3 linked regions of the Schizosaccharomyces pombe genome follow. The protein of the gene in region 3 purifies or fractionates together with the protein of the main gene of each other region. This does not show direct contact. Each region holds a gene or a part of one and is shown on either strand. Other genes may lie near its edges.

What was found. Proteins that work in one complex are often made in the same cells at the same time.
Region 1: the proteins of hfi1 (region 3) and taf9 purify together in Schizosaccharomyces pombe (affinity purification with mass spectrometry, with the first as the bait; 2 studies listed by BioGRID). This does not show direct contact.
Region 2: the proteins of hfi1 (region 3) and sgf11 purify together in Schizosaccharomyces pombe (affinity purification with mass spectrometry, with the first as the bait; 2 studies listed by BioGRID). This does not show direct contact.

The regions. Positions count from the first base shown.
Region 1 is NC_003424.3:336,161-340,506, reverse strand, and holds taf9 (SAGA complex/transcription factor TFIID complex subunit Taf9), read right to left. Parts: upstream 2,206-4,346; 5' UTR 2,116-2,205; coding exon 1,624-2,115; 3' UTR 744-1,623; downstream 1-743. Other genes in the region: protein Mcp60, read left to right, coding at 1-400; rcl1 (rRNA processing protein), read right to left, coding at 2,988-4,079. UniProt on the Schizosaccharomyces pombe protein: Functions as a component of both the DNA-binding general transcription initiation factor complex TFIID and the transcription coactivator SAGA complex.
Region 2 is NC_003424.3:1,370,735-1,375,059, forward strand, and holds sgf11 (SAGA complex deubiquitinating submodule subunit Sgf11), read right to left. Parts: upstream 1,737-4,325; 5' UTR 1,574-1,736; coding exon 1,547-1,573; exon of another isoform or gene 1,311-1,546; coding exon 984-1,310; 3' UTR 940-983; exon of another isoform or gene 887-939; 3' UTR 744-886; downstream 1-743. Other genes in the region: mug10 (Rho guanine nucleotide exchange factor), read left to right, coding at 1-542; F-box/WD repeat-containing protein Pof1, read right to left, coding at 2,332-4,149.
Region 3 is NC_003423.3:3,577,196-3,581,750, forward strand, and holds hfi1 (SAGA complex subunit Hfi1/Ada1), read right to left. Parts: upstream 2,525-4,555; 5' UTR 2,261-2,524; coding exon 2,044-2,260; intron 2,002-2,043; coding exon 1,775-2,001; intron 1,724-1,774; coding exon 1,624-1,723; intron 1,506-1,623; coding exon 1,030-1,505; 3' UTR 838-1,029; downstream 1-837. Other genes in the region: SPOM_SPBC887.17 (transmembrane transporter), read left to right, coding at 1-714; Man5GlcNac2-PP-Dol translocation protein Rft1, read left to right, coding at 3,140-4,555. UniProt on the Schizosaccharomyces pombe protein: Component of the transcription coactivator SAGA complex. SAGA acts as a general cofactor required for essentially all RNA polymerase II transcription. At the promoters, SAGA is required for transcription pre-initiation complex (PIC) recruitment.

The DNA of each region.
Region 1 (4,346 bases), on a different chromosome or scaffold from region 3:
TTTTGTTAAGGCTAGTCTTCGCTTAGGAGACATTCCTACAAATAACTTTGATCAAAAGCTTGGCGTCGAAATTGTTCGCAAAGCTATCACTCGTCCCGCTCAAACCATTCTTGAAAATGCTGGATTAGAGGGTAACTTGATTGTTGGTAAACTTAAGGAGCTTTATGGCAAGGAATTTAACATCGGTTATGATATTGCTAAGGATCGTTTTGTTGATTTAAATGAAATTGGTGTTTTGGATCCCCTAAAGGTCGTACGTACCGGTTTAGTTGATGCTAGTGGAGTCGCCTCATTAATGGGTACCACCGAATGTGCCATCGTCGATGCTCCTGAAGAGTCCAAGGCCCCTGCTGGTCCTCCCGGAATGGGTGGCATGGGTGGAATGCCCGGTATGATGTAAGGTATCAAAAAAATGCCGACGTGGTTTTTTAAATTTTTACAATTTATTAAAAGCTTATGATTATGATGATTTAAATCCATTCAGAGAAATTGGCTTTAATTTTGCATTATGTTGTTGACCTTCGTAAAATTCTTTAGTTTCAAAACTAGTTAATGGGTCATACTTCTGTTAATGGATACTTATTGTTTTGAAACTTTTCATTCGGCTATTCTCATATGGTTGCTAATTGTACAATCAAACTCCTGATTTTGTTTAATGAACATAATGTTTTACCTTGTGTTTATTACACATTATAATTTCACTCTTTTTACGAATGGTATGACTTTCGACTTAAATACCAAGTTTTCACTTTTGTGTTTTTGTAAGTTCTGAATTGTGTTTACGTAAAGCATCAAGTTTCTTTATATTTCCTATACAGGTTTGTGGTGAGCTTTGAAATGGTTGAAGTATGTGAGAGATAAATGATTTTGAAAATGATGAAAATAACGCGGATGAAATATATGTCCGAGAGCGCAAAAAATGTGTGGATATTTCCGTTGCCTTCCTTCTGATTCAAAATTATTATATAACTTATATATTTTTAGCTGTCGTGCGAGTATCCCTACTATATTCTTTTTAGGGGATCTGTATAGGTCATATAAAGAAAATTAAAATGCATGATATTATGTTATCACTAGTATTGTGGTAAATTGTATTTTCAAAGTTATGATGAGAGGCAATTGTAAGTAATAAAGAAACATTGGTGCGGTGTAAATTTTAAATGAGCCTAGTAGTTGAAGAAAGCTCTCGACGAGCTCATGCCAATTTCACAGCCTTACATGAATTACTCCAGTTTTTGTAACATTTTAAGAAAAAGCGCGCCGTCACTGATGTTGTTGCCGTCTCTTTCACTTTTTTCTATTCTATGTCGTACCATATATAAAAGATACAGTGTACAGTAATGTACAATATGAGCTGAATTTAAAAATGTTGTATACTTTTTTGCTCCATACACTGATTTCGTAGCAAATAAACAAATAAACAGGTACCTTATAACTGTAAACGATTTATTACCCACGCCCTGCTTTCGCAAGTTAAATAGGAAGTTCTGGAGGAACAAAATCATATAAATAAAACCATAATCATCTGCTGCAAAGATTCGTGAGCGCTTCAAAAATATTTACATATATCTAAATCATCAGCACTTCCCCGGCATTAGTAACAACTTTAAAAGGAAAATAAATTTATTCAGACTTCACAGAGAAGTCAAGTTTATCCTCCTCCATTCGTGAATCCGAGGAGTTCTCTTCCTTTGGTTGATTCTGTTGGGTTTCATTACTGACAATCCAGTTGGGTTGAGTTAAACAGTACTTCTCCGGTGGAAGACGAAACCCATAAGACGGCTGAATTTGGGGTAAAGGTTTTCGATTTCTCTCCATAGCAAGCTCTAGTAAAAATTCTTTTGGTGGAGGTCCAGTGAAGGAGTGATTGATTTGAGAAGCAACAGCTAAACGTACATCTTCTACAGAAATTGGAGCATTTTGCCCACGTGAATGTTCCGCATAAACCTGTGAATCCTGGATTAACTGCTGTGTATATCTATGTGCAAATGTTAACAACTGCAAAGGCACTGTTTGAGAGTATGATGGAACACCCAGAGAGCTAAGTATTAGATGAATCAGACGAACGTCCTTAGGTCCTTTTATAGATTCATCACTTATTCCTGGAGAACTCATGATTTATTAAATACTATAAGTATATGCGAAGACAAATACGACTCCCGTTATTTTTCTGTTTTACCACCCAAAAAGATTTATGGTCGTTGCGAGCGTTGCAAATTGTATCCACTCAGAAGTTAGCGTGAGTCCACTGCACACCACTAAATAGCTTGTTTCAGAAAGTTTACAACAATGCTATTTTACATATACATTACTAAATATTTCGAGTCATAAAAATTTATCTAAGCAAACTTTAATTTATGCAGAAGGAATGATTTCATTAAAGCAATTCCTATCAAAGTTGCTTTTAGTATCACCAATGTTAATAATTTAGAAGTTACATAAAATTTTAGTATAAGCAGCGTAAAGTAAAAACTCTCATTTAGTAAATAATAAAACGAACAGGATCATTCATACAAAATCAATGATGATACAAATTTACTAAAAATTGGCAGTGTTTTTTTTTTACAAAAGGACATGGAAAAAGGTTGAGATTTTCAAATGAGAAGAGCATCTAAGAACTAATTTTCTGAAAAAGAGGCATCGGGAAAGAAATATTAAAGCAGAATGAAGTAGAAACAGAACCAAGTAATTTAAAGGAAACCAAAAAAATTCAAACCATAATTGAAAATGAACATAACAAGACCGTTAAAACAACTGAGTCACAAAAACGTATTTAAATCTCTAAATATGTATGGTGCTTTTTTTTTATACTCATGTCGTAATTGCAATGGGAAGTTAATGGGTAATGAACTTCTTAGTACGATTAAAGAGTAAATATATATCAAAAAGACGTTCGTTCATTTTAAGTACCCGAACAATATGTTAAATGTAATGTTATGATGTTTAAGAAGAATAAACGAGCAAAGGACCCACTGATAAATGGTTTTCTATTGAATGCGGCGATTGACATTTAAATATCCTTTTCCTAAGCATGACATCTCCACCTGGCCTGATTCGAGCTCTTTAAATCTATATTCGCAATTGAAAAGTGCCTTCACATCCCGAAGAAAAACAACTAATTGCGAAGTAATACCAAGTTGACCCACAACTATTGTGTTAACGTCTTCAGAGGATAGTAGCATCCCGGTTAAAGTTGAAGGTTGTGTATATGGATCTACACAACCACCAGATTCAATAACTTCCAATAATTTCTTTGCGCAAAAGGAACCAACATCTTCTGGTGTTTCTCCAGCTTCACCACAATGCTCGGCAGCATAAGAGCAACCCTTATTAGTTTCTGCAACTAAAGTGATAGAATACCCAGGACTGTTACCACATTCATCTCCACGGCGAACGTCTGTATAAATGAAAACATCGGGTATAAAAGGATTTAAAACTCCGCGAGCAGATTCTACTAAGCGATTTGCAAAAGCGGGAGATACTCTAGTTGAAGAAGCAATTCCTCTGATTCGGAAGACTCTTCCAAATTCTGAGAGACGAATGGGAGGTAAAGACTCTTTAATTACAGGACATAAAAAATTCACTTCACCTCCTCCGCCAGGAGCAGAACCACGCTTTAATATGCGCAACTCAAGTTCATCACCAACTTGAAAACGCTTTTGAAGAGAGGGTAATACACTAGTGCGCAAAACATCGACACCAATATCTTCATTACTGGAAGTAACTCCAGTAAGAGTAAGTGAAGTAGGGGTTTTTGCAAAAAGACAAAGTATTAGAATTGGTTCCAAAAAATAGCCTATCCCTTTGGTAGTTGGACAATCATGGACTACACGACCTCCTATAATATTTCCTGGGCGATATATGAACGAAGTACCTGTGTAAGAAATTTCTATGACACTGCCATTGGTCAACTTCTCCAACAGCCTTAAAAACGAAACCTGGTAATCTTTGACACCAGGATCGGCTTCATCTGGGTAAATTCCTTCAACTCGAATCGGAGTTCCCGAGAGAGTTGCAAGGACTAACCGATGCGTCAAATACTCACATCCTTTAAAGCGTTTGAGCTGACCGGTTGACATCACGAGTTTAACAATTCAAAATGAATGCAAAGCCCCGAATTATTTTAAAAACGCGTTTTTCGAGACTTTGATATTTCAATTCCTTTACAGGAAATTTTTAGTTTTGGTAAAAGAATTTCTACAGCGCAAGAGGTAGAATTGACCTCTCAGCTAGGAGTTGCCGTGGTAACCGTAAAGCTACTTGTTTACTAAATAAATGTAAACAATAAAAAAAGTACTGTATTTTTTAAAAAATTAACTGTTTTTACTACTAAAAGAAAGAAATAT
Region 2 (4,325 bases), on a different chromosome or scaffold from region 3:
GATATCCTATACATTTAGCACGTGTTTGTAAAATGTTACGGAAATATCCATTTTTGAATGGAGATTTTCGGATGGCGGTCAAAACACTTGACGATTTTCGAGAGTTATGTTCTTATATAGACCAAGAAAAAGCCCGCGAGGAAAGTTATCAAGTACTTAGTGCACTGTGTGGAAACCAGGGTGTTGCGGTGGACATTCCAAGGCATATAAAATTTAAAGGGTCAGTTATTCCAGCTACTTCATTTATTTATGATTTTAATGCCTGCGTCTTTTGCGACGATGGATTGGTTGTTTGGACGAGGTATGTTAAAAAAATCGAAATGAAGGCCGTTTCGATAGAACAATGTCTTCGAGTAGATGAACTTTCAAACTCTATTTTAGTTTGTACTTTAAATATGAAGGGGAAGCTTTTAAACCGTCATTTGGCACCTCAAACTATGGCTGCTTCTGTTTTTCTTAAGTGGTATCATGAAAGAGCTGGTATCTCAAATGGCAAAGAAAATAAATTAAACCGATTGAAAGTTGTCAATGCTAAAACATAAACTAATTTCTTTCTTTTTCTTTTTTTAATATTAAACGATATTTTTTTTCTATTATTCACTCGTTACCTAAAATTTGCTGAACATAATGACAAATATGTTAAACCAAAATTTATTGTCAACTTACTTCTTCATTCTTGTTATCCTTGTCTTACCAACTTTGAAAGATATTTTCCTCAATTAAAAATTTACTTCTCACCTTCGTTACCTTAATATGGGCATTATTATTAACCAAATAGTTTAAATAATATCTTTATCCTTTAATAATATTTATTGGTAATTCTTGTTTACAATTCCTCGTCTTTTTATTGAAGTGAGAGTCTACTATATATGAGTTTAATAACTAGCTACACAAGTTAGCAAAATAATATTGTAGTTCGTCTTACTGGGAAAGACATACATGTGCATAATGAGAATAAACCTTAAAACAAGCAACAAATAAAACTAGTCCTCTTCGTCTGCATTGTCATCTTCGAAAAGAGTTGAGTACGAGGTAGCGTTTGAAAGTGACCTGCCTTTACATTTCTCTAAATGTGCAGCATATCGAGACGCAGCTATTTCACGCTTGCACATTAAACAAGAATAATAAGGGACATTTGAAGGAGTTTGGACGCTATTACCATATATATCGTAGCCTGGCTTGGTACAATACTGCCGACAATGCTTGTTACAGGCCGGACATTTTTGAAGAGATAATTTAGCATTCTTGTGGACTGTTTGGGTCAATTCATGGGTGTAGTCTTTCAACAAATTCTCAAATATAGTGCAAGACTGATTGAAATTTGAAGTTAGTGAAAAAGTTGTACAAGTGTTAAATTCAGCCACCTATTGACAATTGTTTTTCTATTAATCTTCCTTTTGTCTTTAAAGTACTACAATTTGACATGTTAAATAAACCGCGATCGATTAAATGATACATGCTTTCATAAACAAGCAAATCTTTTTTTGGCGAGGAAGTTTAATTTTGAAAGGAAAAACAATTACACATAGAGAAATCAGGTACTTACAATACCGGCAAGAGAAGCAGGCTGCATCTTTAAACCATTCTTTGGGAATCAAAAGTTGAGTATTCCAAGCAAGTTAGTATTGTTACAAAGCCGGTGATTCCAAAATTTCAAACAATGAGGAAAAAGATGCAACTGATCCGTATGGGAAATTGAGATTTACAGAACGGAAGTGCTTCAAATTGATGTCTTTATTATAAAAATTATTAGGCTCAAATACTTGGTGTTACATCTTTAGCTTGCGTAGGAGCTGACTTTATTTGCTAATAGTGAGTGTTGATATAATTTGCTAATTTCATACTTCTCTGACTCCAAGAGCAATGCAAAATACACACGCTCATGAAATAAAATATCAGTAATCCACTTGCGCAATTGGAAAAAACAACGCCTACAACATAGTACCTAAGTTTCTCCCTTTTACAATTCATCAAATCATACATTCTTCAGCTCGACTAAGGATAAATTGTATTCATTAAATACATAAAATGTTAAAAGTCATAAAATAATTCGCTAGTAAATTAAGCAAAAGGCTAAACTGTATGCCGGGATGCCATCAATCTCAAATGATTTAAATAATACAATACAGGCAAGGATATTAGAAGTAGTTTTTGATTATAGACAAAGTGTTTGTTACCAAAAAAGAGCCAAATTTAGATATGGCATTTTGGCAACCCGAGCAATAAATAAAGACATAGCTTCGAATGATGAAAAATGAAGGATATACAAGCGAAATGCCGAAGAAAAAAAGAAATAGACACAAACAAAAAGGCGATGCGATGTTGGGGTAACTACGATTGAATCGACACATCGTCATTATTGGCATTAGAGGGTGGGATATTTAAATTTCTGGTTGAGATATTGGATAACGAGGATGAGTAGTTGGGTACTGAAGAAAGAGCTCGTTGCACACTTGAATTTGACCTTTGACCATTAAGGGAAGATATCGGAACAGATTGTGTAGATACTGGAGATTCATTTGGAGCATTATTGAAAAGCCACAAATATATTTTCCCATCTTCAGACCCACTGACTACCTCACAGTCTCCAAGAGCAACCGAGGTTACAGGCTCCGAGTGATTCTTCAACGTGTGAACACATTCACAAGCCTCCCAAACTTTAACAACACCATCATGAGCTCCCGAGATTAAACGAAGGTGATCTGCCGCAATTTCCCATACACCTTCAATGTGTCCAAACAATGTATGAACACATTTTTTCTTCTCGATGTCCCATTGCTTTATTGTGCCGTCCAATGAGCAAGAAAACAATCGCGAATCAGCAAGAGCTAAACTCTGGACAGGGCCAATATGAGCACTGAAAGTATGAAGACACGTGTTTGTTTCCAAAGACCAAATCTTGATGGTGGAATCGTCGGAACCGGAAAGAACAAGTCCACGATCTCTAATTATGCGGACAGAATTGACAGGTCCTGTGTGACCGCGTAAAGTGATACGCTTACCGCCAGAAAAGTGCCACAGCTTAACTGTACAATCTGCGCTTCCAGAAACAAGTAGCGTAGAGTCAAACGTTAAGCATAAAACACTATCCGTATGACCATGTAAAATAGAAATGCATTCAGAGGTTCTGTAGTTCCATATACGAATAGTTTTGTCCATTGAACCGCTGATAAGTTTACACTGATCGAATTGAAGGCACGTAACACCACTGCTATGACCTTCTAATAGAGCAACTTGTTGAAAGGTAGCAAGATTCCATAATCGTATAGTGGCATCATAACTGCCGCTAGCAAGAATGTTCCTTACAAGTTGTAGACACATAACACCGTCAGAGTGGCCACTGAGAACAACCTGGCGACAACGACCATGCCGCCAGTTGCATTCAACTCTACAACGTTCAGCATATACTTCTTTCCATGGTCTGGTTTTAAAGGGAAGAAAGAATTTGGAATCGGAGTTCGGAGAAGGTGGTTTGACAGAAGAAATAGTCTCTTCATTACTCGACGTCGGATAATCGTCCAGCTTTGCTTTTTTGACGGGTGAAGATTCATGAGCCTGATCGACGCCTCTTTTTGTAAGTCGTTCATAACGTTTTTGTATGGAAGCCTTTGCTGCGTATAAGGTATTTCTTTCGAGTAACGGAAGTCCCCAGCCGCATTTTTCACATTTTCGATTAATATGTTGTTCACACATCCGATGCCATATAACATCATCATCAGCAAGTTCTTTCCAATGTTTACTGACTTGTGCAGCTTGGCAAAGGCTTCTAGCATCCAAAAAAGATAAAATGCGAAACGAAATTTCAACAGGGAGCAAAGAGAGAAAATCTAAGCGTACTAGAGAATCTAATGTGCTGGAGGCAAAAGAGAGAAGAGAGGACGAACAGTTGTTTAAAATGCCTTGCAAAGCGAGTTTACGTTCGCTGCAAGAAGCCTCTGAAAAAGCAGCCCATACAGCTTCGACACGTTGACGACTTTTTTCGCTTAAACCAGACAATTCATTATGCATTGAAGAAATATTAAAAGCCGAAACGGAGATGGATTGATCACCTTCTTTTTTTTCCAGTAAATGGCGTTGCCATAGCTCTGCTCGTGGTGCAAGATTATCAGAGGGTTCGGAAGTGGGAACAGATTCATAACCTGTAGTCATTTTTTTTATAAAGGTTAAATATTAAGTATGAAAAGAAAGAAGGGACAATGCAAAGGTTGATTTTAGGGTAAAAAAAAATAGAGTGGATAATAGCACAAAAAAATGTTATCACGGATGATGCGGGTAGATGTTAACAGAATGAAACCAGAAATGATTTGGATAAGATGATAGTAGTA
Region 3 (4,555 bases):
GTTACTGCTTTTATTGAATCCGGGTCTGGTATTTCGGCTGGCGGTAGAACAGGGATTTTAGGTATGGTTGTAGGCATTTGCTTTTTCATTTCTCTTTTCTTTGCTCCTATTTTTTCAAGTATTCCAGTCTGGGCTACCGGTTCTACATTAGTACTTGTCGGCAGTATGATGATGAAGAGTACTACATTGATTAACTGGAGTTACCTTGGTGACTCCATTCCTGCTTTTATTACAATTGCTTTGATGCCATTTACCTACTCGATTGCGTATGGCTTGATTGCCGGTATTATTTGCTACGCTCTACTAAACTCCATTATTTATGCTATTGACAAAATGTCACGCGGTAGACTTGTACCGGCTGACTATAATCAAAAAGAAGCTTGGACATGGCGTGTCGAGGGGGGTTTATTGCCTCAATGGGTACGTCGCCTCTTTAAGGGTAACCGCAGATTTTGGGAAGATCCTGACGACCGCAAAGCTATGGACAATGCCACCTTAGAGATGGCTACTAGTAGATCTTATTCGGAGGACGGTAAAAATGAGAAAACTACTCATGAGGACGTTACAATGAAAGAAACATCTTTAAAGAAGATGGACGATGAGCGCATTTCTGTTGACGAAGCTGTTGGCGAAAGTGAAAGTTTCAGTAATAGACAACAGGATTTCCGGACGCCTTATGCTGGCATCGATATGGATACTGATGATCGTATTTAAACAGTTTTTACTAATACTATATTTTAGCAAATCTTGAACAATAATAGTATTCTGTCGGTAAATCTTGCTGGATAATTACGTATTTTAGAATATCTATATTGCTTCATCTTACATATTTCGCAACCTGTTATATATTAAATTCATTACTATAAATTAAAAAAAAAAAATATGTGAAAAAAATCTAACTTAAAAGGATAATCAAGTCTTGTATATTTGCGAGCTGAAACGCTTGAAGAATAGCCCTTGAAGCTTTTAAGATTGTAAATAAATAAAGCACTTCTGACGATTAGATTAAAAAAAAAAGAACCTCCGCGGTTATGAAAGCACTTCATCTAAAAGGGAAGCAACAGAATTCCTATCACTTTGCGCATCATTGCTTGCAAGCATGTAGCTTGGCGATTCTGCACAAATTGAAATTTCATCTTCAGTATAACTATCATGAAGCAAAAACGGCATTCTTAACTTCTGTGGATACTGTTCGACAAAAGCATGAGGTTCAATAGTCCATGCTAGATTAAGGTCATTAATGGTAAAACCTGCCGCATCATTTTCAGTATTTTTTTGTCGAATATTTTTGTTTAATATAGAAAAGCATCTGCTTAGAATGTTCTTTAGATGGCTTTCTAACCCAGCCAATATAATATCAGACACACCCTTTTGTACACCACCCAATAAGCCATTTTCAAGAGAAATAGCTGTAATTCGTTCTTTTAACGATTCTGAATCTGGAAGTTCAAGTGTTTCACATGCTAGAGGTGCAACATAGCCGGCTTTAATATCATTTACAAATACTAATGAGGTTAGTGAAAATATTACCCAAATTGTGGTTAAAAGGAAATTTCCGTTAATAAAAATTAAATGGTTACACTTTTGAATACTTCCTTAGAACCTATTAAAGAATAGGCTTACCTGAATTCAGCTTGTCTCGGGATACAGGAATTTTAGGTAATTTTGCAATTCTCGTTTCCAGCAGCAATCCTGAGATCAAACTTGGTGTAACTGGCTTTTCCTAGATATGTTTGTTAGAAAGGTGATAAAAAAGACTTATAATAAAGCCTACTTTTAAAGCAGTTTTGATCCTAGCCCGGTCTTTATAACTTAAAGACATTACTATTCGCTTGATTAATCGAACCTGTGCATTCTGCGAACTAATTTTTTTATGTAAAAATAAACTATTATCGACTTTCTTCCGTTTAAACCAAGGTAAATGATGTAGAGCACTAAAGGTATCATTATTTTTTTGCATCAATTTGAGAATATGAAAAATGATTGAATTGTGTAGTTTATCTAAAGTGTCAGAACAATATTAAATAAAAATTTATATCTTACCAAAATTTGATTTTCCAGCGAAAGTTAACAGCATCGACTTCATTTCCTTTCTGCTCAACTGTCCAATTAAGAAGTCCGTCATTGTTTTAGTATACACCTCGAAACTGCTACCCAAAAGTGATTGCATCTCTGAGATTATTTGCGAAATTACTGTGTTGGGTTTGTGCCCATTCGAGCTAGCGCTTTGAACTTTTTGTACAGTAACTCCTTCTGTCATTTTTCTAGTACAATTTAATCATCAAGGTCATCAAAATAAGTTTATGACAAAAAAAAATAATAGCAGAATTAAAATAGAAAGCTTAATCGCATAAGTCCCAGTATTGGTGTAAAACACAAGTAAATTGTTCAAACTTGTAGCTAAAAAGCAGATGCAAAAGTAAAGCTAAGTACAAATAAAGAACCTATTTTTTTTAATAGAAAGTTGTCTACAAAGGTTCTTAATGAGTTTCAAACAAAAAACTTTCAGACTTAGTAGAATGATGCCTTAAACTAGAAGTAGTCCAAGTTATTACATGCCAGCAATGCTTAATTTACGGTACGCTTCACTAAACATCAAACACTCTTCAGCCTAAAAAAATTTTAGTATACAGTAATAATCATCTGTATATTCTTGAGTATCTGATTTACTATTAATTATCTAACCACAAAATTATAAAATAGGAAAACGAATTTTAATTGTACCTACGTCCTTAAAATCAGTCGTGAAATGGGTTTGTGATTATTATACTTATGGAAGTTTAAGGTAACCTGGTATTAACAGCATATGAATTACAAGCAGTAGAAGCTTACTGTACTTTAACGCATCTTTAATACAAATATGGCTGTATAGCCGGCGGGTTAAACATGGCAACTCTACTTCGTTAACTCAAGTATATTGTAGAATTCCTTAATGCTCTATGTTAGTAATGTGTCCTGAAAAGTTAACTGCGCGCTCAAGAGACACCCATTTATGCGCCAAATCCACCAAGTAAATATCTCATTTATAAGTTAGAATACGAATTACATAAAAAAAGTTGGGACATTAATGGAAGAAAGAGGTAAACAACTATTGACTTGTAGTATAATTCTTTGAATCTAGATCAGTACCAACTAGCTAATGGATAAATCTGATTCTTTGCTGCAGTCGTCCTCGAAGGGACTGCGCTCCTCCATATTTTTTCAAGGAAGTTCGAGAATATTGACTTTCTTCTTAAACCAACTGACCATTCGGTTAACTAGTCCTAGCGCCTATGCATTTTCTTCTATTCATTTTGAGATATTACAGAGTACGATCCTTTTCCTCAGCAGGGAGTCGGTTCGATTAGCTATGCAAAGAATTCCTTCGGAAAATGCAATAATTACCTCTACTTCTACTGAGTCAAACAAATCAAAAAAATTAAGTGATCAGTTGCAATTGATCAAGAATACTTCTTTGATCAGTGTTTACATTGGTATCGTAATATCGCTTCTGGTTTCTTTATTTTACTTCTATTCACTTCCTAATTTTCCTTATTCTAAAACATGTATTTTTATTTACACCGTTTCTAGTTTCATTGAGTTGCTATCTGAACCATACTATGAAGTTCTTCAATGGCGCCAGAAGTTCTCCAAGACTGCTTCAGCAGAAGGACTTGGAACAATTATTTGCTCTTTATTGTCCTTTGCAATTTCTGTTTTAGGAAGGAATAAGGCACCGTCAAGTCTTCCTTTTGCCCTCGGTAACTTGTCAGAAAAAGTAACCATTTTTTTTACTTTAAGGTATTTTGCTAAACAGCCATTCTCCATATTTCTCCACAAAGTGGGAGAAAACGAGAGGTATATATTTTGGGATAGTTCTACTCTTCGAATAATCTGTTCACATACTTATCAAGTGTTGTTAAAACACCTAATCACAAAGGGCGATAAGATAATGGTAGCATGGTATGCTTCTCCTTCTGCTCAAGGTCCGTATGCGCTAGCTTCCAATTATGGTTCTTTATTGGCGAGAATCGTGTTTCGACCAGTAGAGGACCATTCTCACATTGTTTTTGCTCAGTTAACGCATTATAAGAACAAAAAAGATGAAAAAAAGGCTTTAAATTTGTTGGCATGGATTTTAAAATTATATTCTTATATGAGTTTGTTTATCCTTTTTGGAAGTAATTACTCGGACATTGTTCTTTTGTTTGGCGCAGGAAGTAAGTGGGCTTCTCCTGATAGCTCTAGCATTTTATCTTGGTACGCAATGTATATTCCGTTTATGGCTGCAAACGGCGTGTTGGAAGCATTTTATGTTTCAGCAGCCAACTCTTCTCAGTTGTATGATCAAGGGAAGTGTTATTTGGCTTCCGCTGTATTTTATTTTATTACTGGAAAATTCCTTCTATCATGGTTTAATTTAGGCTCTCATGGATTAATCCTTGCAAATATATTAAATTTATCACTGAGGATATGTTTTGCCTTACGGTTTATTCTTCACAATTATAAAGATTTTAGTCTCCCGAGGTCTCTTCCTAGGCCTTTTTTGCTAGCTCTTTCAATTCTTTTGTCTATT